Linked DNA regions of Callithrix jacchus. The protein of the gene in region 1 purifies or fractionates together with the protein of each later gene. This does not show direct contact. Links are inferred from orthologs where the notes say so. Each region holds a gene or a part of one and is shown on either strand. Other genes may lie near its edges. The genes, in order: PHF1, EZH2, EED and RBBP7.

Region 1 (8,399 bases):
TTTTAAAAAACAGATGACTAACTAACCTAAGAAAGCGGATTGAAAAAAAAGGTGACTAAAAGTCTAAACTGGTTGGGCACAGTAGCTCATGCCTGTAATCCCAACACTTTGTGAGGCTGAGGCAGGAGGATTGCTTGAGCCCAGGAGTTTCAGATCAGCCTGGGCAATATAGTGAGACTCTTGTTTCTTTTTCTTTTTTTTTTTTGAGACAGAGTTTCGCTCTTGTTACCCAGGCTGGAGGGCAATGGCGCGATCTCGGCTTTCTTGTTTCTACAAAAAGTATGAAAATTAGCTGGGTGTAGTGGCTCACACCTGTAGTTCCAGCTACTCAGGAGGCTGAGATGGGAGGATCACCTGAGCCTGGGAGGTGGAGGCTGCAGTGAGCCGTGTTCCTACCACGGCACTTCAGCCTGGGTGACAGAGCAAAACCTTGTCTCAAAAAAAAAAAAAAGAACACAAAAATCCCCAAGATTCCTCCCCATCACCACACAGTGATCATTATTTTTAGGTCTGCCTAGGACTCCACTATGTAGTTGCACCAAAATTTATCCACCAGTTCCCTCTACTGGACACTTGGATTGTTTCCACCCTTTATTAGTCACAAACAAGACCATGTTGACTAACTGTATGTACATCATTTTGTATTTTTTCAGTTACATGTAACCATCTAGGGAAATAGACATTGAAATGAGATTACTGGATCAAAGACTTAGAATTTTTTCAGACTATTTCAAATAGTGCGAATTCAGACACCAAACCCCATGAGGGTCAGCCAGTGACCCTTCTACTATTGTTAAGCAAGTCAGGAAGTTTCCTTATTGTCTGCCTCTATGGGTAATTTTTTTCTCTGGCTAACCCTCCTCCTGAGCTTTGATAGGCTCTGGCTTTATTTGAGGTCTGATCAGGTCTGTACTTCTGCAGTGCTTGGGCTTCCTCCCAATCAGCGTTGATTGTTGTTTTTTGTTTTGTTTTGTTTTGTTTTGTTTTGTTTTGCGGGGGCAGGGAAGGGGAAGGGAGGGACGGGGCTCGGGGGAGCCCGACTCCTGCCTGGAGTTTGGAGGCGTCCCAGCTGCGGAAGGGATCCCAGCTGCGAAGGGGATCGGCACCCTCAGCACAGACCCAGCAGAGAGGGGAGGGAGGGAGGGACGGAGGGGCGGGTACGGGGAAGGGAGTAGAGGAAGGAAAAAAAATGATCAGCATTGATTGTTGCCGTGGAGTAGCCAGCACCTGTACCCTGATCTGCTGTTCTACTTTGATGAGGGTTTCCCTATCTCGTAAGTTCAATTTTAGAGGATGTTGATGTTTGTTCTAACTTTTTATTAGTTATTATACCAGTGTAACATCCAACATGAACTTTAATATCCTCTAATAACCAGTTTATGTTAAATTTCACCCAACTGTCTCAGAAGTGTCTTTTATACATAATAGGTTTATTCAAATCAGGGTCCAGGCAAGGGCCACCCAGTTGGTTCAAATGTCTCAAGTTCCTTTTAATCTGTAACAGCCCTATCCCATGCTGCCACTATTATGTCATTTGTTTGTTGAAGGTCATTTGTCCTGTAGAATACACTTGTCTGGATTGTGGCTGGTTGCTTCCTCTTTCCCCCATGCTTTGACTTATTTATCATATTTGGGTGTTGTCAGCCTGATCCATCCACTTAAAAGCTCCCTATTGACCTTTCACCTAGTGATTTTATCCAGGAGTAACCATACCTAGATTCGTTATTTCATTAAGGGCTTTTTAAATGATGATTCAGTCTTCTCAGTTCTGCGTTGGTTAGTCACTATTCTTTTATGAAGAAATTTGCTTTGCCATCTACTTGGTTTCTGTGAAACTCAGTTCATAGAGGAAAAACAAGATAAATGCTGGATTATTTATTGATTTTCAGTATTGAGTTGATACCCTAACAGCTTCCAAAGGTGACCAATGAAGGTCTATCTGAGCGTTACTTTTTTTTTTTTTTTTAGACAGGGTTTTGGTCTGTTGCCCAGGCTGGAATTCAGTGGCTCAATCAAAGTTCATTGTAGCCTCCAAAGGTGTTGGGATTACAGGCGTGAGCCACCGAGCCCGACCACAGTCATTCTTTCTGATGCTCAAATTGCCCCATATTTGGCCATTAGGAACCTCCTTCAGGTTGGCGCCAGTGTCCTTTAGACACAACCCTAGTAGTCTTTTTTCAGATTCAACTTGTACATTTCCTCCTCCAGACTTCAACTGATCCACTTTTCTAAGGAGTGCTAATTCCTAAATGGGTGCTCGTTGCTATTACTATTTTATCTCAGTTTAAGGATTTTACAGTGGAAGAGGTTGGAGGTCTCTAGTAGAGAGTATTGCTGGAAATGAAAGCCTCCTCTCTCCGCTCCTGTATTTTGTTGTGGGGCTTCCATCTCTCAGGCCTTTTCACCTCCTCCAAACCTAGTGTGGAAAGGAGAACCAACCATAACTGAAATCAGCCTGAACCAGCCTTTGGAGGCCTTATTTCAGTATTCCTGAGGGCAGCCCCTAGCATTGGAGGATGGGAGGAGATCTTAAGAAAACTGTTCTTTTGGTTATTTTGCAAACTTTTTTATCCTGTCTCACCCCCTACACCCAGGTGAACCAGTGTGTTATTGGTACTGCCCAAGCCAACAGGAAGTGAAGACGGATCCAGATCTTGTGTGTTGGGGGTGTATGTGTTGGGTGAGGGGTGGGAGGGTTACTGAAGGGTGCTTTATTGGGTGGAGGGCGCCATGTCCCAGGGCTATCAAATAAAGAATACTTTTTTTTTTTTTAAATAAAGGTTTTCATTAGCATTTGCCCAAGGAGGCAGATACTTTCATATCTGTAAAGGTGGGACCTGTGATCTGTCCCTTCTGCAAAGTGTTTGTGTGGGAGGCGGGAGCGGGGGTTGAGGGCTTGGGCTTTTCTCCCTTCACCTGTCACCAGTTCTGGACCCTGGTCTGGATCATCTTCCCCTCTGCTAATGCCCCGTTCCCTGTCCGTCACATCGGGAGGTGTGCCCTCTAGCTATCCACGCCCCTTCCAACGTAACTAGTTACAGATTAAGTTTCACCCTTCCGCCCGCCACCTCATCCCCAGGGAGGGAACGGTCCTTTGGTGGGTGTCCGCAAATAGGGACCGGACCTCGGAGTCCCGAGGTGGGGCCGGCGCGCGCTCCCGAACTGCTGGCTCTTTCCTCCCGCCCTTTCCTTGCCTTTCTGTTCGAACCGCTGGGGCTCTGCCCGCCCGCTGCCCATTGGCTGGCTCTCGGTGGCGTCACCGCCTCGGGTACTAGCCCCCTTAGTCTTTGCGCCCGCCCTGGAAGTACGGGGCGGGACGTGCCCGGGAAGCGGCGCGCACGACCGCCGACTTCCTCGCGCCAACGGTCGACGGCCGCCGCCCGTGAAGGAGGGGCTCAGTCCTCCCAGGTGCCGCGCGCAGGAGGGGACACGCGTGCGCAAAAGGGCGGCGGGTGGGGCGCGACTAGCCACGGGGAGGGCGGGGCTGGGGCTAACAGCGAGTGGAGGGCGGGGCGCGCGAGGGAGGGCGTGGTGGGGGCAACGGGAAGGGTGAATGGAGGGCGGGGCCGCGAACTGGGGGCGGGGGGCGGGACTCGGCGTGACCATGGGGGGTGGGGCAGCTAACGGATGTGGCACGGGGCGGGGGACCAGTCCGGAGGCGGGCTGCCGCGAGGGGGGATTCCCTCCTGCCCCAAGGGCGAATCTCAGGTCTGAGGAAGGGGCTGAGGGGATTCCCTCTCCCACTGGGTCCGACTCTTCGCTCCCCAAACCGCGGAGGGCCAGCCTCTTGCTCGGCGCCCTCCAGGCCTGTTGGAGGTGAGGGAGGTGGGGTGAGGTGGTGCCCGGCCCCCCTCCGGCTCCTCCTTCCCCCCAGTCCTCCCCTCCCACCACCCTCCCCCCCAACCGGTCCGTCCCTCCCCTCCTTCCCCCCCGCCGCCTCCTCCTCCTGCCGCTGCCGCTGCTTTGGCTGCTGCGTCATACGCCCCAGAGCCGCCGGGACGGAGGGGCTGGGCCTGGGGACCCCCCGGCCTCCGCCTGCACGCCCCCCGACGCCCGGACGTGCCCTCTCCGCGCGGGGGACTCGCCTAGGTCTACTACGTCTGCCCCTGCCCAGCTCCCGGCGGCCCCAGCTGTCACCGGTAAGGAGGCGCCGGTGGGGGGCAGGGAGCCGGGGGTCGGCGCGGGGCGCGGGCGGGAGAGCCTCGTCGTCCTGGCCGCGGGGTCCTGGTTGGGCCGACGCAAGTCCCTTCTCGGACTTGCAGTCCTGGGGAGTAGAGACCGGGACTCGGACACGCCCCCCTCCCGGGGCACTCAGAGAAGTTGTCTAACCCGAGGGCAGGGAGCCCCGAATTTGAGGGTGACCTGACATAACCTGGCACCAGGATGATTGTTCTTAATGAGACACGCAGGCCTGGGGAGACAGCCGTTTCTGCCCTGGAAAACATCTCTAGAAAAGGTCCCAAAATACATTTCTGGGCAACAGGGCACCCTAATTATGGTACCTCTAAACTGAGGGGTAGCCTTTGCTTCTGCAAACGTAATTTCCCCTAAAATTTAAAGGCCAGGATATAATATCCCAGGAGAGCTCTGGAAGCTGTGAAACTAGAGAACTAGGTTTGGGTCGGGGGGAGGGCAGTTACCGAGAGTAGAGCCAGTCACTAGAGTTGGAAGAGTACTCAAGAAGCTGGTGATGGGTGCCCAGTGTTTTCCTATCCAGGTGTGTCAGGATTGGGAGTTGGGGGCACAGATCCTTCATTTTTGACGGCAAAATAGGCAAATAAAATGGGGAAGCTGGCTGGGCGCGGTGGCTCATGCCTTTAATCCCAGCACTTCGGAAGGCCGAGGTGGGTGGATCACAAGGTCAGGAATTCGAGACCAGCCTGGCCAATGTGGTGAAACCCCATGTCTACTAAAAATACAAAAATTAGCCGGGTGTGGTAGTGTGCACTTGTAATCCCACCTGCTTGGGAGTCTGAGGCAGGAGAATTGCTTGAACTGAGGTAGAGGTTGCAGTGAGTAGAGATCACACCATTGCACTCCTGGGCGACAGAGCAAGACTCCATTTCACACCACTGCACGCCTGGTGACAGAGCAAGACTCCATCTCAGGGAAAAAAAAAAAAAAAAAAAGAAAATGGGGAAGTTTTCTCAGCATTCATAACCTCTTCCCCATTTCTTTTCCGGCTAGCCCCCCCCAGGATGCAATGGCGCAGCCCCCCCGGCTGAGCCGTTCTGGTGCCTCCTCACTTTGGGACCCAGCTTCCCCTGCTCCCACCTCTGGCCCCAGACCTCGACTTTGGGAGGGTCAAGATGTGCTGGCCAGATGGACTGATGGGCTGCTATACTTGGGCACCATCAAAAAGGTAAGACCTTCTACCTCTGACCTTCTTCCTATTCCCCTTATCTAAGTCTGGTTCCCATTTCATTCTCTATGCTCACCCATTGCAGGTGGACAGTGCTAGGGAGGTGTGTCTGGTCCAGTTTGAGGATGATTCACAGTTTCTGGTTCTATGGAAAGACATTAGCCCTGGTAAGACTCTAGAGACCTGAGATTGCACATCACATGGAAAACAAACCTGGCTTATAGGAGAAGAAAGAGACTTAAGGGCAGGCCCCTGACACTGTGTTCTCTCATAGCTGCCCTCCCTGGGGAGGAACTCCTCTGTTGTGTCTGTCGCTCTGAGACTGTGGTCCCTGGGAACCGGCTGGTCAGCTGTGAGAAGTGTCGCCATGGTAAGAGGGCAGGTCACCTGAATGGTCCAGCTTGCTCTTCCCTCCAGCACAGTCCCTATGTCACCTGTCCTGGCCTTAGTCCCCAAGCCACTGTTCTGGCCAGGCTGCTTAGCCCTTAGTCCTCATCCCCTGTAAGCCCAGGGAAAAGCAGCCATAGAAAGGGTTGGTGTAACCTTTGCAGGTAGAGGATGATTTAAATGCATCCTTTCCTAACCGTATGACCTTGAGCAAGTCCCTAAATCTCTGGGAGCCTCAGTTCCTTGACTTGTAAAATAAGGAAAATGCACTCCCTCATCAAGACCATGGTCAAGGATTAAATGAGATGAGTAAAGACTATTCCAGTCCCAATACCCAGCACACACAGGTATGCAATAAGTGGTCTATTATTATCATTCTTCAGCTTATCACCAGGACTGCCATGTTCCCAGGGCTCCAGCCCCTGGAGAAGGAGAGGGCACATCCTGGGTGTGCCGCCAATGTGTCTTTGCAATCGCCACCAAGGTAAAGGCACCTCCCTGTTACCCCTTCCTGTGGGAGCCTCCCATCCACAGCCTTTCACAAGCCTTTCCTCTCCCCACCCCGCTGAGGCCACCCACCTGTTCTATCTCTGCAGAGGGGCGGTGCCCTGAAGAAGGGCCCCTATGCCCGGGCCATGCTGGGTATGAAGCTCTCTCTGCCATATGGACTGAAGGGGCTGGACTGGGATGCTGGACATCTGAGCAATCGACAGCAGAGCTACTGTTACTGTGGTGGCCCTGGGGAGTGAGTAATGAGGGGGAGCAGACTGTGCAATGAATGATGGCGGGGTGGACCCCAGGAAATGAAGGAGAAAGAACAGTGAGGGTAGCACTCAGGGGGTTGTGAAGTAAGTGATAAGCAGGTTTGGGACAGATATAGGGATGGTTGCAGTGAGTCGAGAGGCCAGAAGTCCTCTGTTTCCCCTTAGGTGGAACCTGAAAATGCTGCAGTGCCGGAGCTGCCTGCAGTGGTTCCATGAGGCCTGCACCCAGTGTCTGAGCAAGCCCCTCCTCTATGGGGACAGGTGAGACTCTCCAGGAGCCAATGATGCTCTGTCTTTGTGCTCCACCCTCAGTTCCCCCACGCCCTTCTCCACTCCAATCTCTTCCCAACCTCTGCAGGGTTACCTCACCTGTTCACCCCATCCTTGCTTGTGAGTCCTCCAGGAGACGGCATAGTTTTTCTGTGTAAGGTGTGTGTTCTCCCTCTTGTCCACGTCCAGGTTCTATGAATTTGAATGCTGTGTGTGTCGCGGGGGCCCTGAGAAAGTCCGGAGACTACAGCTTCGCTGGTGAGCTGGATTGGTCATGACCTCAGTGTAACTCTGCACCCCCAGCATTTCACTCTGTATGCCCCAACCTCCCACCTCAGGACTCCTCTGGCTCTTAAAATGCCTCTGTGGTCTTGAAAACTCTTTCTCCAGGGTGGATGTGGCCCATCTTGTCCTTTATCACCTCAGCGTTTGCTGTAAGAAGAAATACTTTGATTTTGACCGTGAGATCCTCCCCTTCACTTCTGAAAATTGGGACAGTTTGCTCCTGGGGGAGGTAAGGGGTAGTGACTTTTGGGAGTTGGGATGGGACAGGAAGATGTATTGGAAAGGGGAAGAGAAGAAATCACTGCTCCCCTGGCCCCATTTTCTTTCCTTCTCCCAGCTTTCAGATACCCCCAAAGGAGAACGTTCTTCCAAGCTCCTCTCTGCTCTCAACAGCCACAAGGACCGGTGAGTTGGAGGGAAGAGGAGGCAAGGGTGAGGCTTGGAAAGAGATGGAGATTGGAAGCCTGGAATGGGAGCCGTTTGTAACCCATCTGGAAGACTGTGACTGAAAAGGATTTAGGAATGGTGTAAGGGGGGACCTTTTTTACAGCAATGACTGTATCATTTATCTTCTTGCCCCAGTTTCATTTCAGGGAGAGAGATTAAGAAGAGGAAATGTTTGTTTGGTCTTCATGCTCGGATGCCTCCCCCTGTGGAGCCCCCTACTGGAGATGGAGTATTCACCAGGTCACTGGTCCAGGGGGGATGGGGGAAATTCTCAGGGTGTTAGTCTGGGGAATTTATGTATAGAGATGGGGAGGTCTTTGGGGTGTCCGGGAGGGGGCTGGGGGGATAAGGAGGCCTCTTACAGCTTCCCTTCAGGGCAGGGCCCTGGGGGAGGGGTCTCACGTCCCCTGGGGAAGCGCCGGAGGCCGGAGCCAGAGCCCCTGAGGAGGAGGCAGAAGGGGAAAGTGGAGGAGCTGGGGCCACCCTCAGCAGTGCGCAATCAGCCCGAGCCCCGGGAGCAGAGGGAGCGGGCTCATCTGCAGAGGGCACTGCAGGTACAGGGGAAGGGGGAACCCTATGGAGCAAATGGTGGGGTGTGGGAAGGAGTCAAGAATTATCTCTCAGTCCTTTGCCCCCTCTTCTAGGCCTCAGTGTCTCCGCCACCCCCCAGCCCTAACCAGAGTTACCAGGGCAGCAGCGGCTACAACTTCCGGCCCACAGATGCCCGCTGCCTGCCCAGGTCAGTGCTCCTCTGCCCCTTCCCCCCAAAAATACACTCCCATTTATTCATATCTTCTGGACTTTCTCACCCAGAATTCTTTTCCGTCTCCCCCTTGGCTACCCACTTCTTGTCCTAGACCAACTTCTAGAGCTAGTGTCTGGTA
Region 2 (7,867 bases), on another chromosome or scaffold:
AGGTTCACGCAGGAGAATTACTTGAACCCAGGAGGCAGACTGTAATGAGCGGGTATCTCACCATTGCACTCCAGCCTGAGCAACAGAGCAAGAGTCCATCTCCAAAAAAAAAATTGCTATTTCCCAGCCGGACCCGGTGGCTCATGCCTATAATCCCAGCACTTTGGGAGGCCAAGGTGGGCGGATCATGAAATCAAGAGATAGAGCCCATCCTGGCCAACATGGTAAAACCCCGTCTCTACTAAAAATACAAAAATTAGCTGGGCATGGTGGCGTGCGCCTGTAGTCCCAGCTACTTGAGAGGCTGAGGCAGGACAATCACTTGAATCAGGGAGGCGGAGAGGCTGCAGTGAGCTGAGATCACGCCACTGCACTCCAGCCTGGCAACAGAGCAAGACTCTGTATCAAAAAAAAAAACAAAACTGCTATTTCCCTCACCAAATTCTTCTTTGTTGCCTTAACATAAGCTTTGCCAAGTAGAGAACAGCAACTATTGGCTCTGTTTCTTCCCAGTAGTGTAATCTTGTAAGTTACTTAACCTCTCTAAATCTATCCCCTCAACTATAAAATGGATATAATAAAAACATCCATCTCATGAAGCCATCATGAGGATTAAGTGAGCTGGTGCATATGAACCTGATTAGTACACAACTTGTACATAGTGAATATCATAATAAAACAATGCCCAGTGAAGCACACAAAAAATTATGTTTTTCCCTAGCCAAAGGAAACAAAGGTACTAAACTGAAAATAATGTTGCAAGTAATACGCTTTTTTTCTTTTTCATTTGCTTTTTTTGTTTTGAGACAGAGTTTCGTTCTGTCAGGCTGGAGTGCAGTGGCGCAGTCTCAGCTCACTGCAACCTCTGCCTCCTGGGTTCAAGCGATTCTCCTGCCTCAGCCTCCCGAGTAGCTGGGACTACAGGTGAGCACCACCACACCCAGCTAATTTTTGTGTTTTTAGTAGAGACGGGGTTTCACTCTGCTGGCCAGGATGGTCTTGATCTCTTGACCTTGTCGTGATACACCCACCTCGGCCTCCCAAAGTGCTAGGATTACAGGTGTGGGCCACCACACCCAGCCTTCTTTTTCTTTTTTAAGGCAGGGTCTCACTCTATTGCCCAGCCAGATTGTACAGTGGCACAATCACAGCTCAGTGCAGCCTATACCTCCTGGGTTCAAGCAATCTCCCTGCCTCATTTTTTCGTTTTTTAGTAGAGATGGGTGGGGGTCTTGCTATGTTGCCCAGGCTGGTCTTGAACTCCTGGGTTCAAGCAATCTGCCTACCCTGGTCTCCCAAAATGCTAGGATTACAATGTTAGCCACCCTGACCAGCCATAATATGCAATTTTAATTATACTGCTATCAATGTGATATTTAACAAAGAAAGAAAAAAAAGAGAAAGAAACTAAGCCCTCCTTCTACTCTTTCTACTGTTTTCAAAAGAAAGCTGTATTGGCTACACAGAATCCTAATCATCAGGCATACCATCTCGGTGATCTTCCAGATCTTTCTGCTTTTCTTCTCTATCTTCAGGATCATCTCCATCATCATCATCATCATCATCATTATATTGACCAAGGGCATTCACCAACTCCACAAAAATTTCATCATTTATAAACCCACATTCTGAAATTCATCAAATGTCAGAATCACACAGGAGAAGTAGTAATGACAAAAGTTTATGGATCCTTTTTCTACTTTGGACATAACAGGCATAGCCCAGTCACTAGCACTAAAACATTATTATTGACATGAGGGGAGGAAAATGTAAGATTTTCAAGACTGGCCTTAGACAAAGTTAGAAAGCAGAATTATCTTTAATATCTGCTATTTTCTGTTGAATAGCCCCTCCCCAAAAGTTTCTACTATAAAACCACATCCTCTAGGTACTGATCGTGGCTTTAGCCTCTTACCATTCTTTAACTGATCACTTCAGAGCCCGCTTTCTATTGATAATGACAATGGATGATGATATTACAAATATTACCCTTTCAGACACTTTAACAGGGCCTCCTGGACATTAAAAAAAAAAAACTGAACCCATAACTCTAATGATTGAATTTGAAGTACTGTAGTTCCTAGAGGACAGGTATTTTTGAGCAGTAGGGGTGCTAGAGCCCCCATATGCCACATAAGCAGAGCCCCAATCCTAACTAACTTTACTACTAAAGAATCTTAAAATCTACATATGCTCAATTTCTATTTAATTTACATGTAATTGCGATTATAATTTATGTCATAACCAACCATGTGTAATTATCAGGTGGCCAACCATGAGCCTCCTAACTAATTTTCCCAAAAATAGGGAAAATGCTAAAAATTTTAGGCCTGGGCCCAGATCAGTCCCTTATAGTTCAGTGCAAAACTTAATTTTAACACTAAAATTTTTCTCAAGCCCTATGCTTAATAAACAAAAGTATCCATGTTAGCCCCTTTTCCCAAGAGGAGCATATGGCTCACCTCTATCCCCATGTACTTTTCCATCATAATTTTTTATTAGTTCTTCAATGAAAGTACCATCCTGGTCTAACACTTCATCTCCCATATAAGGAATGTTATGTAAAACAGTTTCATCTTCCACCTAAAAGGAAAAAGAAATATTTAAAAAGCAGCTTTATTCTAACTATCAAATGTGAAATAACTAAAATACAACCTTTTTTCATATGAAGATGTCTTTACTCAGTTCTCCAGATTTAAAATACTAGTCAGAGAGCAAACTCTAAAAGCTACCAAAGAATAATATCAGAGAATAAAAGCAAAGAATAAGCATATCTGCGAAAACTGCTGAAAGAAAAAGAATTTAATTCAAGAAAAAATACTGTACTTTGTCATCAATCATTAAAACTTACTATAATTTTACATACCTCTAAGAAAGAAAAATATGCTCTACATTACGAAAAGACATAACCAGTTCATTTTCTTGTTTCATTTTTTATTGAGATGAGCGTCTCAGTATCCTGCCCAGGCTGGTCCCAAAGTGCTGGGATTACAGGTATCTGGCACCATAAGCCACCATGCCCAGCCATCATCAGTTTTAAGGCACTCTCTTATTTCATACGTTAATACAAGGAGGGGAGTTGTCTTAATGAAATATAGTATATCAAGATCAACTGTAAAAACCCATACCAAAAAACTATCATAAGGCTCCTACATTCCACTTGATGATCCAGTTATTAAGATATCTGTTAATTCATAATAGTTCAAGGTAAAAAGAAAAAAAAAATTTAAGATAACCAAGATAATAAAATTCTAGGGACATAAGAGTATTGATGGTCCAATCAAGTTTATGCCCAAAGGATATGTGCTTATATGTAAAATAAGAACATTCTATAAAAACATATTTCAATATTTAGATGAATGAGATTAGTATCAAAGTTGACAGTGCTAGTAAAGATGATAGATGAGTTTATATCAAGCTTTGGAAGACAAGAGAGAAGAAAGAAGAGCCAATCAAAAGTTAAGAGAATGGAGTACTTAAGATTTCAAGGTAAAGAAAGCTGACATTCATGGGAGGAAGAGAATTTTCAATGAAGAATAAAAATGACAGTAATTATAGATAAAGACTGCACAGTTCTGAAGTACATGCTTAAAGAGACTAATTCCAAGTGAAGACAAGTCTAAGTCTTAAGAGGACTTTGAAAAAGATATTTGCTAAAAATGGAATTTTAGAAAGATAGTTCTGATAAGCAGAATGAACTGGCTGAGACTGACTGGGAGTACACAGCAGCTCTTAAAAGGGTGAGATGGTATAGGCTTGGCCCTCCACTGTGACCATGGCCCACAGGGAATAACACGCTGGGAAAGCCCACACAAACTAGTAGCAAGCAGGAAGTGTGGACAAAATCTCAAATAATCCCTAGGTAACAAATTTAGGACAACTGGAGAGTTCATAAAGATAACAGGACCTTAGACAAGGAAAAGAACAATTGGGATAAATGGGGCATTATAATTAAAATGTAGATTTTAATATATTCATATATTCAAATTCAAGATGATGTACACACTAGAGGCCTGTTTTCATCTCATTTCACTTGCACTAATCCTTTTTTTTTTTTTTGAGACGAAGTTTCATTCTTGTTGCCCAGGATGGAGCTCAATGGCACGATTTCAGTTCACTGTAACCTCCACCTCCCAGGTTCAAGCAATTCTCCTGCCTCAGCCTCCTGAGTAGCTGGGATTAAAGGCATGTGCCACCACACCCGGCTAATTTTTTGTATTTTTAGTAGAGATTGGGTTTCACCATGTTGGCCAGGCTGGTTTCCAACACCTGACCTCAGGTGATCCACTCACCTTGGCCTCCCAAAGTGCTAGGATTACAGCACTAATCTCATTTAAACTAGGAGCTGATTTCTTTATATCTAAGCCAAAATTAAGTGACACTTAGCTATTTTGTCTTCCCAATTATATCCACATAATCCTGTTCTCCAAAACATATCCTAGTTATAATAAAAATTGTGTGCCTAATCTGCTTCGGTCAGCAAAATCAGACAGAGTCTGGTTCTGTCACCCACGATGGGCCAGCAAAATCCATGGATGATTCACAAATTATATTTATTGATAAATGTAAATACTATATTCTAGAATTTCAGTCTGTGAAAACATAAAACTTCCCTTAAGGTCTTGCAATGTAATTCTCAAAGTACATTCAAATTTACACAATTATGGAAGAGTAATTGAAGTGGATACTCTACTGTACAAAGTATAAAACTTACTAAAAATATTGGAAATATCTATTTTTTTAATCTAATAAGCAATTTCCTAAAGCAGGTCCACCAAGGACTTCCGTCAACATTTTATTAGCCTTCCCACTTTATATATCAATTAAGCAATGAAACAATGTATTTTTTATTTAGCAATACAAGTCAAGAACACATGCTTCGGTTTCTCTTTAGCATGTTATTACAAAAGCTACTGGGTCATAGTTAGCTATGGAAATATGTTTAAGTTTGTGTTTTATAAGCCCTATGTATATTATCACAATAAAATGCTACCTAAAATTATTTTAAATAGTTCTCAATTAACAAAAACTCAAAGACTGAGATTATAGGACACTGGCTTTTTTAAGGATAAGAACTATAAGCTTCATTACCTTTTTTTTTTTTCTGAGATAGGTCTGGCTGTCACCCAGGCTGGAGTGCAGTGACATAATATCAGCTCACTACAATCTCCGCCTCCCTGAAGCCATCCTTCCACCTCAGCCTCCTGAAGTGCTGGGATTATAGGCATGAGTCACAATGCCCAGCCCAACTTCTAAGTATTTGTAATCCTAGGTATGGTTACTGCTTAACATTTTTCCTTTGGAGAGTATAAAGAGTAATACTGCAAACGTCTTAAAAAGACTATATTAATCCATTTTTTAAATTACTTTTTATTATTATGTTAGCTTTTTAAAATTTATACTGTCTTGATTGAGTCACCTTGACAATAAAATTATCTATGCTTTTTTATTTCAAATAAGTTATTATCAAACAAGCAGAAGATGTCTTATTTACATACCATAAAATTCTGCTGTAGGGGAGACCAAGAATACATTATGGGTACTGAAGCAACTGCATTCAGAGTCTTTAATGGGATGACTTGTGTTGGAAAATCCAAGTCACTGGTCACCGAACACTAAAACAGAAAAAATAAAATTGACTCTTAAGAATAGAAGGACAACCTTAAGCTGTAGCCATCATATTGTAAAGAGATGCTGCCTACCTATTTAATTTTGAAAAAAAATGTCCTTACCTAGGACAGTTACGTTCATATAAACCAAATAGGATTCTCTTTTCTCTCTTTTACTTAAGGTGAAAAATTCTTCAAATTTTGTAAATTTTCAAAACCTCCAACCCTTCCCATACTTACCAATATCAGTAAGAATCAAAAACTGTACTTATGTGAGCTTCAGCAATCTGATTAACTGATCCATGCTTTCACTATACATTTCCTATCTCATCCTTCGTGTCTCTTACATTCCAACCACAAAGAGTAATATATATATATACACCAAATATGCCACTTCAATCTTACTTAACAAGAATAAGAAAACTTGTTAGGTTAATCTTCCTTATCTTTATCTTCCTTTTTAAAAATCCAAGTGTTAACTGCTGATATTATCAGATGATATATAAATATTAAGGGTAATGGGTTTGAGTTTCAAACACAACAAAGTAAATTCTAATCTATTCTGCAAAACTGTAATGTCTGAATTCGTAGTATTCGCTAATATGACTACTTTCTATGTGCTAGGCTATTTTAAACACATTACATGTCTTATATTTAATCCTCATAACACTGTAAGATGGGTTACTGTTCTTAGCCCCCATTTTACAGGTGAGAAAACTATGGTAATGAAAGGAAAAATAAGTTGCCCAAGGTTGCACATGGTTATAGGGCTAGAATTTAAAACCCCAAAGTCTGACTCTGAAGCCCCTGCTCTTACTACTCCTTATATTGCCATGATATCATATTTTTAAAATGTGTCATTGCACACAGTCCCTTGAAATACCATATTCCATACAATCTAAAATGATAGTGATTTCAAGGCACACCATTATCTTCTGTTTTACTAAGAAAAAAAATGTTGCCAACTAAACAAAGATATGTGTTCTTATCACAGTGATTCTAAGATGCATGTTAGTTTCAGATGTTAAAATGTCAAAAATTTTGCATCTTTGATTCTCTGAAGTATGGTGAAAATCTGTGCCCAAATAACCACAGCACTTTCCACCCTGTCAATGAATCCATGATTTCTTAAAGAGTACCACTGCCGAAGTGTAAGTCCTCCAGAGCCTTCTCCAAAATATCCTAGACATACATTCATAATTCACAATCAATGAAAATAGAGCAAAAAAGAAGTGTAATAAAATGAAACCAAAAAAATCATATATATATGTATATATATATATACACACATACATATTAAAGGTTTAAATTTTTTATTTAAAATGTCTTAAAAATAGCAGAGGTAGGTGTGGTGAAATTCAGAGTAGAAATCTGGCATACGGGCCACACCTGACCCTCAGCACTGGGTTGCATCAGGCCAGTGGGATAATCTTTCAATCATCACAGTCACTGCAGCACAAAACAATTCCTTCCTTAGTGGAAGTGAAGGTTTAAGGATAGAGTAGTTAGGAAGAACTGTGACAGTGATTCATCCATTAATTTGCTTTCTAAAAAGGCAAAGATAAAGATAATAATACTAATAAGGCTCATAACTCCAGTAACTAAGATGGTGTGAACAGGTTACTAACACTCCAGAACCTGCAATCTTTCCCCTTCCTGTTATTTAGCCTCTGATACAATCCTTCATCCATCCATCCAATAATCCAATTTAAAAAGCAGTTAACATTTATTGAGCACGTACTATGTTGCAGGCACTGTGCTAAGTGCTTATATACTTATCTTAATTATTCCTCATTACAACCTTATGTAGTTTTAGCAACAAAACTTCACAAATGAGGACACTGAGGTTCAGAGAAGTTATATAATTTGTCTAGTCAGAAAGGAAGCAAATTACAAAACCAGGATTAAAACCTGGATTTAAAGTCTGACTACAACACCCATGAGCTTAATTACTGCACTGTAGTTCTTGCCCTTACCGTACTCAAGGGGTAAAATAACAACTACAGCCATGCAGTTTTTACTATATAAAACAGAGGCATGGCCAAGCACAGTGGCTCAAGCCTATAGTCTCACCACTTTGGCATGCCAAGACAGGCAGATCACTTAAGCCCAGAAGTTCAAGAACAGCCTGGGCAACATGGGGAAACCCTGTCTCTACTAAAAACACAAAAAACTTAGCTGGGCAAGGTGGCACGTGCCTGTAGTCCCAGCTACTTAAGGGGCTGAGGTGAGAGGATCACTTGAGCCCAGGAGGCAAA
Region 3 (7,867 bases), on another chromosome or scaffold:
TCCTCCAGGACGGAGTGCAGTGGCTGATCAAGGCTTATTGCAGCCTCAAATTCTGTGGCTCAGGTGATCCTTGCACATCAGCCTTCTGAGTAGCTGGTATTATAAGCATGCACTACCATGCCTGGCTTATTTTCTGTAGAGATGGGGTTTCACCATGTTGCCCATGCTGATACTGAACTCCTGGGCTCAAGGAATCCACCTGCCTTGGCCTCCCAAAGAGCTGGGGTTGCAGTCGTGAGCCACTATGTCCAGCCTTTTAAGGAAATTTTATAATGACATGTAAGGCTGTAGGGCTTTTACTATTTGGCAGAGTCAAGTCATTGAAACTCTCAGTATGTGTAAGTTACCACTGAAGTTGATAACGTGAAATAATAGCTTTTTTTCCTCCCTTTTTTTTTGGTGTTTAGACAAATGTAGGTTTTAAGATAATGGAGTCTGCTTATAGTTGTTTAGTTTCTAAATTCTTTGGAAACAGCAATTCAGAGGAAAAATGATGTGGCTTTAAGAAAAGGTTGAGGTTATTTTTTTCTTAGTTGGAAATGTAGCCCATTAATTAAATTTGAATCCACTTTTAGGGCACCACTGTAAACCTAAGACAATATTTAGCTCTGATAGTATTATAATTGGTATAGTTTGTGCTCCAGTATGGTTACTGCAGTGTTTCAAGTTTTCTAATAAAAAGAATTCCTATTTTCATTTAAAGTGACATAAAGGGGTGTCATATAGTTTATTGAATTATTAAAAAGTCTGCTGTTAGGATTTCTTTAAAAGGAAGAAAGAAAAAGAAAACAGTTATCACATAAGATACAACCAACTTAGCAGCCATATAAATAATTTTTTTTGGAACATTAACATAGAGGAGATTATGAATTAATAAATTGTGATGATATACAGGATCTTCAGAGATCTTAAATACTGTTATAAAATATGAATAGGTTTTTGCTAAGGTGACTGACTATAAGATATAAGAAAAACGGGGTTGGACACAGTGGCTCATGCCTGTATCCCAGCACTTTGGAAGGTTGAGGTGGGTGAATCACCTGAGGTCAGGTGTTTCAGACCAGTCTGACCAACATGGATACCCCATCTCTACTAAAAATATAAAAATTAGCCTGGCGTGGTAGTGGATGCCTGTAATCTCTGCTACTCTGGAGGCTGAGGCAGGAGAATCACTTGAACCATGGAGACAGAGGTTGCAGTGAGCCGAGATAGTGCCATTGGATTCCAGCCTGGGCAACAAGAGTGAAACTCCGTCTCAAAAAAAAAAAAGAAAAGAAAAAAATTTATAAAAGTTTAGTATTACAAAATTTTATATGGTTTATGTATAGTTTTAATTTTAGAGTATACAACAAATGAAAAGGGCTATCATACATGAGAAAGTTAATACGTGATTATCTGTACCCATGAGAAAGTAATTCATTAGGCAAATTGTAGACTTTTTAATATTAATGTAACTAATATGTAGATGCTCTAAAACTATCCAAAGACTTGCTTTAATTTTATTTTTTTATGTTTTGAGACAGACTCTTGCTCTGTCGCCCAGGCTAGAGTGCAGTGTTGCAATCTCTGCCTCCTAGGTTCAAGCGATTTCCCTGTCCTAGCCTCCCGAGTACCCAGGACTACAGGCGTGTGCTACCATGCCTGGCTAATTTTTTTTTTTTTTTGAGATGGAGTCTTGCTCTGTCGCCAGGCTGGAGTGCAGTGGCGCTATCTCGGCTCACTGCAACCTCCGCCTCCTGGGTTTGAGTGATTCTTCTGCCTCAGCTTCCCGAGTAGCTGGGACCACAGGTGCGTGCCACCACACCTGGCTAATTTTATAGTTTTAGTAGAGATGGGGTTTCACCATGTTGGCCAGGATGGTCTCGGTCTCTTGACCTCTTGAACCGCCTGCCTCGGCCTCCCAAATTCTGGGATTACAGGCGTGAGCCACTGCGTCTGTCCCCTGGCTAACGTTTTGTGTTTTTAGTAGAGACAGGATTTCACTGTGTTAGCCAGGATGGTCTCGATCTCCTGGTCTCATGATCCGCCTTTTCTGACCTCCTAAAGTGCTGGGATTACAGGCAAGAGCCATTGCGCCCAGCCTTAATTTTTATTTTATTTTATTGAGATAAAGTCTCCATGTGTCACTAGGCTGGAGTGTGGTGGCGCAATCTCAGCTCACTGCAATCTCCACCTCCCGTGTTCAAGCGATTCTTCTGCTTCAGTCTCCTGAGTAGCTGGCATTACAGGCTCACACCACTGCACCCAGCTAATTTTTTGTATTTTAGTAGAGATGCGATTTCGCCATGTTGGCCAGGATGGTCTTGATCTCCTGACCTCGTGATCCGCCTGCCTCGGCCTCCCAAACTTTTATTTTTTAATAGGGATGGGGTTTTGCCATGTTGTCTAGGCTGGTCTCAAACTCCTGGGCTCAAGCAGTTCACCTGTCTCAGCCTCCCAAAGTGCTGGCATTAAGTGACCCACTGTGCCTGGCCTCCAAGGCCTTTTTAACTACAATTGAAAGATGATAAGTCACAATTACTTTGAGGTTTTTAACTTTATTCACTTTGAAGAGTTGGTGCAATTAAATGGATGAATATGTTTAAAAGATTGGAAATCAAAACCATTATTACTACAATATTTAATATACTCTGTATTATATAAAACATTCAGCTTTATGATGGTTTCCTTAAGCTTACAGGAGCTAATTTAAGCCAATAGTTTCTAGATTATATTTACGATGTGATTGTGATTAAAACATGTTTAAAAGTTGGAGAGAGTATGTTTCTGTACTTGAGATGAAATTTACTATATTTTTATTTTCATTAGGTTACCTTGTATGAATGTCATTCACAAGGAGAAATCCGGTTGTTGCAATCTTACGTGGATGCTGATGTATCCTTTCCTGGGTTTTTAATATCTTTGGTTAAAGGAATTTATTTTCAATAAGTACACCAAAACTTTTATAAATTAATCAGTTTGCTAAAGTTTTTGTTCTTTCTTAACCTATTTCTTCACTATCACCCAAGAGAATCCTAGTATCTAGTTTTCCTGACCCTTAGAAATCCATTGTGGTATGTGTCAACTCAGCTAGGCAAAAAAAAAGAAAAAAAATACATTGTGGGATGGATGTGCTGGTTGGATGCAGATGTCTAGAGAGGTAGATAGAAATCTAGTAATAGAAAATGTTAGCAGACTGGTTAAAACCTCCTTTTTCTTCAACCTCACCTAGAATATATCATTTAATTGTGGTTATAATGATGAACTTGGGTTGTGACTGGCAGTCATTCCAAGTATTTGATCAACAAAGCCTAGAAAGAAAAAAAAGTGTAGTTTCAGAAATAAAATATTGCAAAACAGGGTCATAAAGAAACGGAAAAATTTGAAAAGTCTGAGTTAGAGCAGTAAAAGCTAAGTAATAAGATGTTTTTTCCAGATCCCTTTGAAAAACTTAGCGAACAAGACAAGGCAGGGACCTTCAGTCTTCTCTGAAAGATACTGAAATTTGACCTGTGTTGTATTGGGAGTATCTCACAAAGAAAAAGGTGGAAAACTGAATTGTTTTTATTTAGATATGTATAGTATTGGAATAGAGCAGAGGTTAACAAACTGCAGCTTGCAGGCTGGACACCTGTTTTTAGTAAAGTTTTGTTGGAACACAACCATGCCCATTCATTTGTGTATTGTCTGCAATTATTTCGGTAATGCAACTACAGAGTTTAGTAGTTGTACGAACAGTTAAAGAGTAAACAATTGAATGGAGAAACTGTAATTTTGTTTGATAATTTGTTATGGATTTTAGACCTCAAATCCCCATTGTATAAATTTGGTTGTAGAAGGAAAATCGAGAACTTTTATGTCAAAAACATTAGCAGTTCTGTGTAAGTTTCTATTATAACTATTGACATTTTTCTTTTTCATAAACAAATTATATTTCTTAACTGTGGAATTTCATAGGCTGATGAAAACTTCTACACTTGTGCATGGACCTATGATAGCAATACAAGCCATCCTCTACTGGCTGTAGCTGGATCTAGAGGCATAATTAGGATAATTAATCCTATAACAATGCAGTGTATAAAGGTGGGTTTTTCTGGTTAAGTTGTAGTTCTACTTCTTTTGAAGTAAAACTTCAAAAAGTAAAACCTTTAAAAAAACTTTTAATGTTAAATTTAAAACCAATGATATGAATGTAACATTTCTGATTTGATTTGTACTTACTTTAGATGAATCTTTTGAGACCTTTGTCACATTCGAGTAATGTAAATTAAGGAATAAGTGGGAAAATGTTAATATTTATAGTGTTTTCTTTTTAGAATTTCCCTCCTTCACCCTTTTCATGCTTTGCTTTGAGAGGCTCTAAATGAACAATAAGAGTGAATCAGTTTTCCAAGACATCCAAACTCCAGGGGTCTTGTCAAAGGGACCTTGTCACAAACTTAAAGGTGAAGTCTAGCAAGTTGATAAGAAGATAAATTTTTCAAATCAACTTTAATCAGCTATTTTTAACCCTGGGGACACATCATAATCATGTGAGGATCCGAGGGCCTCTGCTAATCCGATTAGAATATCTGTAGGTGGGGTTTTGAGCATCTTTTTTTTCTGCTTTTTTTTTTTTTTTTGAGACAGTCTCTCTCACTCTTTTGCCCAGGTTGGAGTATAGTGGCATGATTACAGCTCACTGCAGCCCATGTCTCCTGGGCTCAAGTAATCCTCCTGCCTCAGCCTCTCAAGTAGCTGGGGCCAATTTTAAATTTTTGTGTGCATATGTGAAGATAGGGTCTTGCTATATTGCCCTGGCTGGTCTTGAACTCCTGGCCTCAAGTGATTGTGCCTTAGCTTTCCAAAGTGCTTGGATTAAAGACACGAGCCACACACTGTGCCTGGGCTTTTTTTTTTTTCTCTTTTCACCAAGTTTTTTGGCTGATTTTAATATGCAGCCAAGGTTCAGAACCACCACTTTAAGTGAAACTATTTTTACATTCTCTAAAGATTTATGAAAAAGCATTTACTGATTTCGAGATATGAAACTTGAAATGTTTTAAATTTATTGTAGCACTATGTTGGCCATGGAAATGCTATCAATGAGCTGAAATTCCACCCAAGAGATCCAAATCTTCTCCTGTCAGTAAGTAAAGGTAAGAGAAGCAAATGTTTCTTTAGTCTGTGCAAGTTGTCAGAATTAGGATGGAGTCACTAATGTCAAGAAAACCCTGACAAACAGGAAAAGCCATGAAAAGAGAGTTCACATGCATGTATGTCTGATAATATAAACTCACAAAAAAACACAAGAACCGCAACCTTGCACAAAGGCCATCACAACCTTACATAGAAAATACTGCCAGTAAGTGACTATTCATCCTCAGATTGGCATTACCCTTGCTACTGATTTTGAGGCGAATCTTACTTCAAAACAATTATGTAATCCTTCTCATTTTTTTCTTTTAAAAACCTTACCTTTCTGAAAACACATGCAATTTACTTTGGCATGTGCATTCTCATTGAAGTGCTTTATTTCCATATAAACATCTTTTCTTTTAGAGAGCCTTTCTGTTACTTAGGTTAACAAGTCCTGTTTTATTTCCAGTCTAGTATCTATTAGTTATTTTTCCTGATTCTCTTTCTCCTCCCACCCTCCACCCTGCAATTAGGCCCCAGTGTGTGGACAGATAGTATTCTAAGGGGATAAAAAGCCAAATTAAAAAATAATTTTATAACAATAAATTTTAGTGTGAAAATCCCAGGCTATGTTAGCATATCCAGATCATTCTGTCCAATTATGTAATAATAAATACTACATAGAAAAATTCATATTGCTTTTTTATTTTTAAAAAAAGCTATTGTTTTATAAGGGATTCCCTATAGAATTTCTTAAAAATGCTAAGTTCTCCAGGATAAGTTACTTGAAGTATTTCCCATGAAGGGAAAGCACTGCATTGTTCCTTATGCCTTCATAGACATTATAAATTTATTGTGGGTTTAGATATTATCTAATTTCTGAGCTGTCTGAAATGAATTAGGAAGATCTGATTTTTCACATTGTTTTTGATTGCCTTTCTCTTTCCATTTCTACTTACAAGATTGTTATTTTCTTAGGCTTGTCAAACCTGTAATCTCCCCTGCAGTCTACTCAGATTAAATGATGTCCATAAATTAAAACTCTTATGTGCAAGTTTGTCTTATGTAAAAGTTTCAGTGTCATTTTTTTATAACTACCAAAGCTTAACTTTGGAAATCACTATCTCTAGGAAGAGCTGATTACTGTTTCTTGTCTCTTAATAACACTAATTTGGTCTCAGATATTTCTGTACAAGTGTATAGGCCATAGTGCCTCACTTGTTCTAAATATCACAATGTTTTTTCTTTCTTTCTTTCTTTTTTTTTGAGACAGAGTCTCGCTTTGTCACCTAGGCTGGAGTGCAATGGCTTGATCTCCGCTAACTGCAGCTTTTGCCTCCTGGGTTCAAGTGATTCTCCTGCCTTAGCCTCCTGAGCATGGTGCCCACCACCATGCCTGGCTAATTTTTTCTGGTTTTAACAGAGATGGGATTTTGCCATGTTGGCCAGAGCTGGTCTCAAACTCCTGATCTCAGGTGATCCAGCTGCCTCAGGCTCCCAAAGTGCTGGGATTATAGGCATGAGCCACCGTGCCTGGCCACGCCTGGCTAACTTTTTAAAAGATGTTTTTGTAGAGGTGAAGTCTTGCTGTGTTATCCAGACCGGTCAACTCCTGGCCTTAAGCAGTCCTCCTGACTTGGCCTCCTAAAATGCTCGGATTATAGGCATGAGCCATGATTCCCAGCTAATAAGGGACTTGTATCAAGAATTTTTACTGCTCAACGATTTAAAAATGGCCAAAAGTTCTGAATGGCATTTCTTCAGAGTATATACACAGATGGCCACTGAGCACATGAAAAGATGTTTAACATATTAATCATTAAGGAAATACAAATCAAAACCAAAATGAGATACCACTTCACATCTACTTAGGGTGGCTATAATAAAAACCTTAGATAATAACAAGTATTGATTGGCACAGGAAGGAATCAGCAGAGTCCTCTTAGACACTGCTGGTGGGAATGTAAAATGTAACTACTTTGAAAAACAATCTGGCAGTTCCTCGGAATGTTGGAGTCACCAATCCTAAGTGTGTTTGCATATATATATGTATGTATATGTATATATATATATATATATATATATATATATATATATCCCCTAGGGGTGTGTGGGTGGGGGTGTACATATGTATTCCAGGAGATACAACATGTCCATACAAAAACTTGTATAAAATTGAAATCAATCAGGAATCATTTTTACAGCACTAATTTTTACATGTATTACTACCTCTTGGTGTTATGTGATGTATTAATATTTATAGACAGAATGAACATTGTTATATTTCAAGCTTACATGACATGTCTTTTTTTTTTTTTTTTTTTTTTGGCGCAGCGAGCAGGGTCCGAAGACATGTCTTTACATACTTTTTTTTTTTTTAAATACCGTTTTAGAGACAGGATCTCACTCTGTCAACCAGGCTATAGTAGAGTGGTGTAATCACAGCTCATTGCAGCCTTGACTTCCTGGCCTCAAGCAATATTCCCACCTCAGCCTTGTGAGTAGCTGGGACTACGTGTGCACATCACCATGCCTGGCTAATTTTTTTTTTTTTTTTTCAAGAGATGGGTTTTACCATGTTGGTCAGGCTGGTCTTGAACTCCTGACCTTGTGATCTGGCCGTCTCGGCCTCCCAAAATGCTGGGATTACAGGCGTGAGCCACTGCGCCCAGCAGCCTGACTAATACTTAAAAAATTTTTGTAGAGATAATGGTTTCGTTACGTTGCCTAACCTGGTCTCAAATTCTTGGCCTCACAGAATGCAGGGATT
Region 4 (7,867 bases), on another chromosome or scaffold:
GGCAGGCGAATCACTTCGGACCAAGAGTTCAAGACCGGCCTGGCCAACACGATGAAACCCAGTCACTACTAAAAATACAAAAATTAGCAGGGCGTGGTGGTGGGCGCCTGTAATCCCAGCTACTCTTGAGGCTGAGGCATAAGAATCACTTGAACCCAGGAGGTAGAGGTTGCAGTGAGCCAAGATTGCACCACTGCACTCCAGCCTGGGCGACACAGAAAGACTCTGCCTCAAAACAAACAAAAACAAGAAATCCTCAATATTTAAAGAAATAATGCATAAAATTGTTGGGGAATGAACTGTAAATTGTGGGAGTGGTAAACTGGGTAAATCACTTTGGAGAATAGTTTTCTATGAAGTTAACAATGAATACACCATACAACCTAGCAGTTTCACTACACTAGAAAATGTAATATTTTTGAGTCAGGATCTTGCTCTGTTGCTCAGGCTGGAGGGCAGTCGTGTGATCCTAGCTCACTACAGCTTCAAACTCCTGGGCTCAAGGGATCCTCCCCCTTCAGCCTCCCAAGTAGCTAGGACTACAGGCATGCACCATCACACATGGCTAAGTTTTAATTTAATTAATTAAAAAAATCTTTAATTTTTTTTAAAGATGGGGTTTCACCATGATGGTCAGGCTGGTCTTGAACTCCTGACCTCAGGTGATCCACCCACCTCCGCCTCCCAAAGTGCTAGGATTACAGGCATGAGCCACCGCGCCTGGCTTAATTTATTTTTTGATAGAGACAAAGTCTCACTGTGTGCCCTGGCTGGACTTAAACTCCTGGGCTCAAGCATTCGTCCTGACTCGGCCTCCCAAAGCGTTGGGATTACGGGCATGAGCCACCACATTTTATCTTCAATAAGAGAAAAACCCTAAAGCATGTATTATGAAGTGCTAATAGCATTAAGCCATCTGGGACTGTGAAGAAAGAGTTAACACAGCAGTCTGGTTGCTTAGCCCTGGACTCTGAGGAGCACTGGGACCCTTAGTGACCCTTGGCAAACTCCTGGGAACATGCACCTCAGAATGTTCTTTCTGTCACTGATGAACTGATGATTTTGTGGTGTGCACCTGGAGCAATGGACCATGTTGTACCAGTTTGTCAGGGTTGCTTTGTAGATATCAAGATTGATTATTGTTTTTATTACTGGGGTCCTCAAGTTTCAGTTGCCATGGCTGGTTGTCAGCAGGATGTGTCTATGCAACTAGGCCCCCAAGAAAGCCTCAGACCCTAAGACCCAAATAGGCTTCCCTGAGCAGAGATATTTCACACATGTCCCTGCAGTTTGCTGCCAGAGAAAAGCACATCCTGTGTGGCCTTGGACAAGACTTGTGCCAGACCTCCCTGAACTTGCCGATGCACATCTTTTTCCTGCTGCTTTTGTATTCTTTACTGTAATAAACTTTAGCCACAAGTATAATTTGCTCTTTTGAGTCCTGACAAAATCACCAAACTTGGGGTGGTCATGAGAATACCAAAACAGGAGAGTATGTTTGACTAAATCAAAAAAAGAAAAAAGCAGCCAAGAGATTCCTAAATTAACCATAGCACTACTGCCTCTCCCTCCAAACAAACAAAAAAAACCCCAGCATTAACCATTTGGTATCACTATTGTTTGATGTATATGTCGTCTCCTGATTTTTTCCCTGTGCACACACCAACACATATTACTTCTACCAAAGTGGAACCCGGTAATTACACATAACAGTTATTCACTTAATTTATCTTGGATACCTTCCTATACCAGTGCATACAGATTTTTCTCATTAAAAAAAATTTTTTTTTTAAATTTTTGGTAGAAATGAGGTCTATGTTGTCCAGACTGGGCTTGAACTCCTCAACTCAAGTAAACTTCCCACCTCAGCCTCCCAAAGTGCTGGGATTATAGGTGTGAGCTATGGCACCTGGCCTTTCTCATTAATTGCTGAGTAGTATTTCAAACATACCATGTGCTTAACCAACATCTGGGTTACTAGGTTGATCTTAATTTTTCAATTCTACAATTACGATTAAAATCCCTTATGTACATGTGGGTGAGTAATTCCGTAGGATAAAGTCCTAGAGTTAAATTACTGGGCCAAAAGCTAATAGTTTTAGTAGCACACGCTTTGAACGAGGCATATCCCCTTTGACATCAATATTGGAATATATAATATACCTACCACCCTTGTCACTGTCACAATGGGAAGCATCAAACTGTGCATCATCATTGGGAATATGTACTCGAGCAACCACCAGATGATTCTGCTCATCAGACGTGTGAGTCCCCAGCACTAGCCAATGAAGGGCATAATCTTTTCCTTCCGGTCTGTTTAGAAAAGAAAACAAGTCACACTAATCCTCTAAGAAATTTCCAGTTGCTAACAAATTCAGTCAAGTTCCCTCAAAATACATTCAAATTTCTTTAGCAAATATATACTTAGTATCAACTGTGTATCTTCTCCCTGTGTGGTTACCAACTTTACAATCACCACATATGCAAGTGTAAGAAAATAATATTCTAGCTACGACATGCAGAAGGCTTGCTTCTTTCCCCAAGAGCTATTCTCCTGTGCTTCAATTATCAATGTGAATACTGCCTTTTATAGAGCAGCACTCTGGGGAAGGTAGGCCCAACTCAGTAAACACAAACATCTACACAGGAGTCCACCAACAGTCCCCGTACTCATAAATCACCTAAAAAAATCTTCTTCCCACCTAAAGATATCTTATACAGTAGATGTTTCTTATTTCCCAATAAGAAATTCTACAAGGTAGTATGGACAGAAAGTGTTGAGTCAAAAAAACTTAGCTTAAGTCCCGGATCAAACTAAAATGCAATTGCTTCAAACACAACCTCCCTGGGGCCTGTTTCTTCACTGAAAAAAACAGGTTGTAAGTGCAAATGGTCTGATGTGAAACCCCTTATTTATGTTTATGAGACCTAAGTTTATGAAATGAACATTCTCAGTTTTACTGAGGTGTCTTTGTTACCTTGTTCTGTGGAAACTCACCTTGAGGCTGAAGAACTTGCCCAAACCTCTTGGCACCTTGGTCCAAGCAGTGATTTTTCACCAGTATCTATCAAAAAGGCTTTCCCATTTGTATTATCTAGAACACAATTTTCAACTGTGCTCCACGGTCCCATCTCAATGAAGAGGACTTAGACGGGCTCTAGGCCCCAACACAAGTTAGGCCATTTATCTGTTTAAAAATTTCAGTTGCACAAAGGATTCAATGGTTAAAAAAAAAAAAAAAAGACTGAATGTTACTTCTAGGCAAGTAATTTAGTAATAAGAAAATACAAGATGCAATTTTACCAAGATTTGGCTTACAGTAAAAAAAGTGTACGCGGCTGGGCACGGTGGCTCACGTCTGCAATCCCAGCACTTTTGGGAGGTCGAAGTAGGCGGATCATGAGGTCAGGAGTTCCAGACCAGCCTGACCAACACGGTGAAACCCCACCTCTACTAAAAATGCAAAAAAATTAGCCAGGCATGGTGGCATGCGCCTGTAATCCCCGCTGCTTGGGAGGCTGAGGCAGGGAAATTGCTTGAACCAGGGAGGTAGAGGTTGCTGTGAGCCACGATCGTGCCACTGCACTCCAGCCTGGGTGACACAGAGACTCTGTCTTAGAAAAAAAAAAAAAAGTGTGCACAGACAGATACACACACACACACACTCCCCCAAGAACAGAGTAAGGAAGCCATAACTAAGCAATAGCAACTTGTTTAAAAAAAAGACAGCCAGCTACGGTGGCTCATGCCTGTAATCCCAGCACTCTGGGAGGCTGAGGCGGGCGGATCACCTGAGGTCAGGAGTTTGTGACCAGCCTGGCCAACACAGTGAAACCCCTTCTCTACTAAAAATACAAAATTAGCCAGGCATGGTGGCACATGCCTGTAATCCCAGCTACTCAGGAGGCTGAGGCAGGAGAAACACCTGAACCAAGGAGACAGAGGTTGCAGTGAGTGGAGATTGCACCATTGCACTCCAGCCAGGGCAACAAGAGCAAAACTCCATCTCATTAAAAAACAAAAACAAAACAGAATTCTCTGGCACCCTTTAAAACAACAAGCATATCCAAGCATGCTGATAGGAAAATCTCCAATTTACACTTTTACTGACAAACTCAAGTGAAGAACTTGCTACCATAAAAAAAGATGAAGATACAGGTATACACTTCTACATGCTGGCAGGATGGATTAAGAAACTGAAAACAGTGACTGGGGAAAGGAAGTAGGGCAGTAAGGGATGTACAAAAGGATGTACTGCCTGAATTTGAAAAATTACAAAGCTTTTTAAGGTAGAGAATAAGTTAGTCTCAATATAGTTCAGGAATTATTCAACAAGAGATATGAAATACCTACCTAATTAAAAAAATTTCACAGAGCTACCTAAAAAAAACCTTTTAAAAGCCAAATCAACGCCTGTAATCCCAGCACTTTGGGAGGCCAAGGCAGACAGATCACGAGGTCAGGAGTTCAAAACCAACCTGACCAACATGGTGAAACGGTCTCTACTAAAAATAAAAAAATTAGGCAGGCGTGGTGGTGCATGCCTGTAATCCCAGCTACTCAGGAGGCTGAGGCAGGAGAATTGCTTGAACCTGGGAGGCTGAGGCTGCAATGAGCAGAGATGGTGCCATTGCACTCCAGCCTGAGTGACGGAACTAAACTCTGTCTCCAAAAAAAAAAAAAAAAGCCAAATCAAAATCAGTTATTTGGACAATTACTTAACTCAATTGAAGGACAATAGCTCAGAAAGTCCAAGTAATTGTTATGAAGCATGTTGTAAGTTGGCAGAAGAAGGGCATATGGGGTGGAGTAGGGTCTAGTTCCTCAGAGTCAGGCACTGAGAATAGCCAACATTTTTATTGTGCTATATGGTGGTAAAACACAGTCTCTTTATACCCCAAACTGAACCTTGCAAAGCTCCACACAGCAATCCTCAACATCCAAGAATGCAGGCTGCTTGGCATTTTCTTACATTCTCTAAGCCACTGCACTTCCCACAACCCAATCCTACAACATCTTTGTATATAAAGAACACCATAATACACATGAAATAATTTAATTAAAGCATTTTCTGTTACATTCCTAAGTGTTACATATTATAGGTAACAAAAAAAAAAAAAAAAAAAAAACTTAAGCAAGCAGCTTTCATTGAAATCCAAATGAAGAAACACAGAGCTATTTCAATCCTGACAAATTATTTCTGAACAGGAAGGGGTGGGAGAATCAGCATCAGTCACCACTTGCTGTGTACTCATGCTGCATCAGGCACTTTAACATGCATGATCTTATTTAATTCCCTCAAATTGAGGTAGTCAGTACCACCACCATCTCCATTTACAGCCCAGACAACTAGTTCATGAAGCTAAGTAGAAGCAGGAGCATGATTCCAACCCAGGTCTCTAAGTTTAAAGCCCCTACTCTATTATGTTACAGTGGGTCAAAAATATCCCCAAAATTTAGTTAATAAATTTTAAATCTGCTTAACAGACAAAAACAGGCAAATGCACACGATGCTCCAAACCAGAACTTGAATACCCCTGAGTATATGATGCTTAATCTACTGTTAAATCTGTTCAAAGGTGGCTGTAAACGTCAATGCTTCCAAGTCTTCACCATTTAGTTCTCTACTCTTCCCACATCCGCATATTTACATTTAGATTTTTGGGAGGCCCAGTGGAAGTCCCTATCTGTATGGAAATCAATGTTTGCGTGCAGAACCTAGCCATTGTAAGAGCAGTTTTATACAAAATTAGCTCATTATGATTATTATTATTTTAGAGACGGAGTCTTGCTCTGTCGCCCAGGCTGGAGTGCAGTAGTGTGATCTCAGCTCACTGCAACCCCTGCCTCCCGGGTTCAAGCAATTCTCCTGCCTCAGCCTCCCTGTAGCCGGGACTACAGGCACACACCACCACGCCTGGCCCTCTTTTTTTTGTATTTTAGTAGAGACGGGATTTCAGCACATTGCCCAGGCTGGTTTTGAACTCCTGAACTCAGGCAATCCACCTGCCTCAGCCTACCAGTGATAGGGTAACAGGTGTGAGCCACTGCGTCCGGCCAAAAATTATTTTTATAACTTGTTACAAAATCCTCTTTTTAGGTTAGAGTTTAATTTAATATTCTTTAACTTATATGTCCACAACACCCAATTTTAATACACTTTTTTTTTGTTTCTTTGGGAGACAGGGTCTCTCGCTCTCACTACAGCCTTGAACTCCTGGGCTCAAGCTAACCTTCCAAAGCGCTAGGATTACAGGAGTAAGCCACTGTGCCTGGCTCCGTATTTAATACACTTTAAAAGTACATGGTCAAGTTCCTACTAGAAAAGTGCAAGTGAATGAGAAATCTAATGCAGGGACCAGCTGTGTGATCCTGGGATAGCACTTAAACGCTCAGTCCCAGTTCCCTTATTAGTAAAACAAAGATGATGAAAAGTACCTAGAGCACAGTACTATTATGAGAATTACAATAGGATGTAGACTCTTCAGATGTGCCAGGCCCTGTTCTGAGTGCTCAATAAATGCCAGCAATTATTACCAGAGAAACTGTAGATCTAACAGAAAAGAATACTCTTATGAAGACTAACAGCAATCTCAAAGTGGATTCCATATTAGAAGCTGATTAACACCTTTTTTTTTCAAATTGCACTTTAGGTTCTTGGGTATATGCGCAGATCATGCAGGATTGTTGCATAGGTACATACATGGCAAGGTGGTTTGCTGCCTCCGTCCCTTGTCACCGATATCTGGCATTTCTCCCCATGTTATCCCTCCCCATCACCTCCCCCGCAACAGACCCCAGTGTGTGGTGCTCCCCTCCCCGTGTTCGTCATTGTTCAATACCCGCCTATGAGTGAAAACATGCGGCGATAATACCCATTCTTTGGTCAATTGTTGACAAGGTCTTTTCCCCTTTACCAATTAAAATGTATTTATCTTGGGTGCCTCTTACGTGTTCACTTTGTAAAAATTTATCAAGCCATACACTTAACAATGTGTGAACTTTTCTGTATATGTTCTATTTTTCAATGAAGTTTTAAAGACATGTAGTAGTTTGGGCCCAGAGAGATGCTGCTCTACATTCAAGCCCAGGCAATGTCAAATACATTCAGTATTTCCTCCAAACACTATTAATCTCACAACAGATTCTTTCTCCCCTTTTAACGCCACAGTATATGCCAGAAATCATCCCACAAATCACGTAAGTTTTGAAAATAAAAACCACCTGCTACCTCATGCAAGGGCTGATTACATACTTATGTTCTATGTATAAAACGTCAAAACTAGGAAATTCAGAACTACAGTTAAATTTAAGCAAAATAAAAGTTGCCAGAAACCCTTACTTAGTCACTTCAGGAAGCCACTGAACTGTAAGACTGGGCCACTGAAGAGCATGGGTCATAACCAGGTCATATAGAAACGGTGTATTCTTCTTCCAGATTTTATATTCTTCATTGATGACACGCTCCTCCACAGTATCTTCAAACACTGAAATTTGGAGAAAGCCCACACGATTAAGTGCCTGAGATGGACTGAAGTCAGAAATTGGAGGTCATCTCAAGATGGCCACACCTCATGTACGCTTTCTTTTTACCTCTAATTTGGACACGGACAACTAACCGCTCTTCCAGGAGGCGGAGAGAATACTAACACAACCAGGAAGCGTATTTTTTTTAGTTGAGATCAATACCTCCTGCGTATACCATGTTGGGTAGTCAATTACGCGGACATGGAAATTGTTTACCCTACTACAGCTGTTCGCACCTGTTCTAAGATGACGACTTATATGTACAGGGGCTGCGCGACCCACTGGGTGAGACAAATGTACATGTAGCAGAAGCCCACAGGCCCAGTCCCTTCATTCCCC

Evidence for each region.
Region 2: the proteins of PHF1 (region 1) and EZH2 purify together in Homo sapiens (affinity purification with mass spectrometry; 15 studies listed by BioGRID and IntAct, with this or other methods). This does not show direct contact. The link is inferred for Callithrix jacchus from reciprocal best matches to the Homo sapiens genes PHF1 and EZH2.
Region 3: the proteins of PHF1 (region 1) and EED purify together in Homo sapiens (affinity purification with mass spectrometry; 8 studies listed by BioGRID and IntAct, with this or other methods). This does not show direct contact. The link is inferred for Callithrix jacchus from reciprocal best matches to the Homo sapiens genes PHF1 and EED.
Region 4: the proteins of PHF1 (region 1) and RBBP7 purify together in Homo sapiens (affinity purification with mass spectrometry; 7 studies listed by BioGRID and IntAct, with this or other methods). This does not show direct contact. The link is inferred for Callithrix jacchus from reciprocal best matches to the Homo sapiens genes PHF1 and RBBP7.

What each region holds. Positions count from the first base shown.
Region 1 is NC_133505.1:41,641,361-41,649,759, forward strand, and holds the start of PHF1 (PHD finger protein 1), read left to right. Parts: upstream 1-3,606; 5' UTR 3,607-4,139; intron 4,140-5,187; 5' UTR 5,188-5,203; coding exon 5,204-5,362; intron 5,363-5,447; coding exon 5,448-5,529; intron 5,530-5,636; coding exon 5,637-5,732; intron 5,733-6,132; coding exon 6,133-6,233; intron 6,234-6,345; coding exon 6,346-6,494; intron 6,495-6,678; coding exon 6,679-6,774; intron 6,775-6,972; coding exon 6,973-7,041; intron 7,042-7,173; coding exon 7,174-7,297; intron 7,298-7,405; coding exon 7,406-7,473; intron 7,474-7,650; coding exon 7,651-7,755; intron 7,756-7,879; coding exon 7,880-8,069; intron 8,070-8,159; coding exon 8,160-8,254; intron 8,255-8,399. Other genes in the region: kinesin-like protein KIFC1, read left to right, coding at 2,595-2,639; uncharacterized protein LOC128931737, read right to left, coding at 2,392-2,416, 3,125-3,606. UniProt on the Homo sapiens protein: Polycomb group (PcG) that specifically binds histone H3 trimethylated at 'Lys-36' (H3K36me3) and recruits the PRC2 complex. Involved in DNA damage response and is recruited at double-strand breaks (DSBs).
Region 2 is NC_133512.1:98,886,351-98,894,217, reverse strand, and holds part of EZH2 (histone-lysine N-methyltransferase EZH2), read right to left. Parts: intron 5,616-7,867; coding exon 5,499-5,615; intron 2,584-5,498; coding exon 2,463-2,583; intron 1,629-2,462; coding exon 1,488-1,628; intron 1-1,487. UniProt on the Homo sapiens protein: Polycomb group (PcG) protein. Catalytic subunit of the PRC2/EED-EZH2 complex, which methylates 'Lys-9' (H3K9me) and 'Lys-27' (H3K27me) of histone H3, leading to transcriptional repression of the affected target gene.
Region 3 is NC_133511.1:54,032,069-54,039,935, reverse strand, and holds part of EED (polycomb protein EED), read left to right. Parts: intron 1-2,808; coding exon 2,809-2,874; intron 2,875-3,936; coding exon 3,937-4,062; intron 4,063-5,035; coding exon 5,036-5,117; intron 5,118-7,867. UniProt on the Homo sapiens protein: Polycomb group (PcG) protein. Component of the PRC2/EED-EZH2 complex, which methylates 'Lys-9' and 'Lys-27' of histone H3, leading to transcriptional repression of the affected target gene.
Region 4 is NC_133524.1:17,120,670-17,128,536, forward strand, and holds part of RBBP7 (histone-binding protein RBBP7), read right to left. Parts: intron 7,489-7,867; coding exon 7,344-7,488; intron 2,314-7,343; coding exon 2,168-2,313; intron 1-2,167. UniProt on the Homo sapiens protein: Core histone-binding subunit that may target chromatin remodeling factors, histone acetyltransferases and histone deacetylases to their histone substrates in a manner that is regulated by nucleosomal DNA.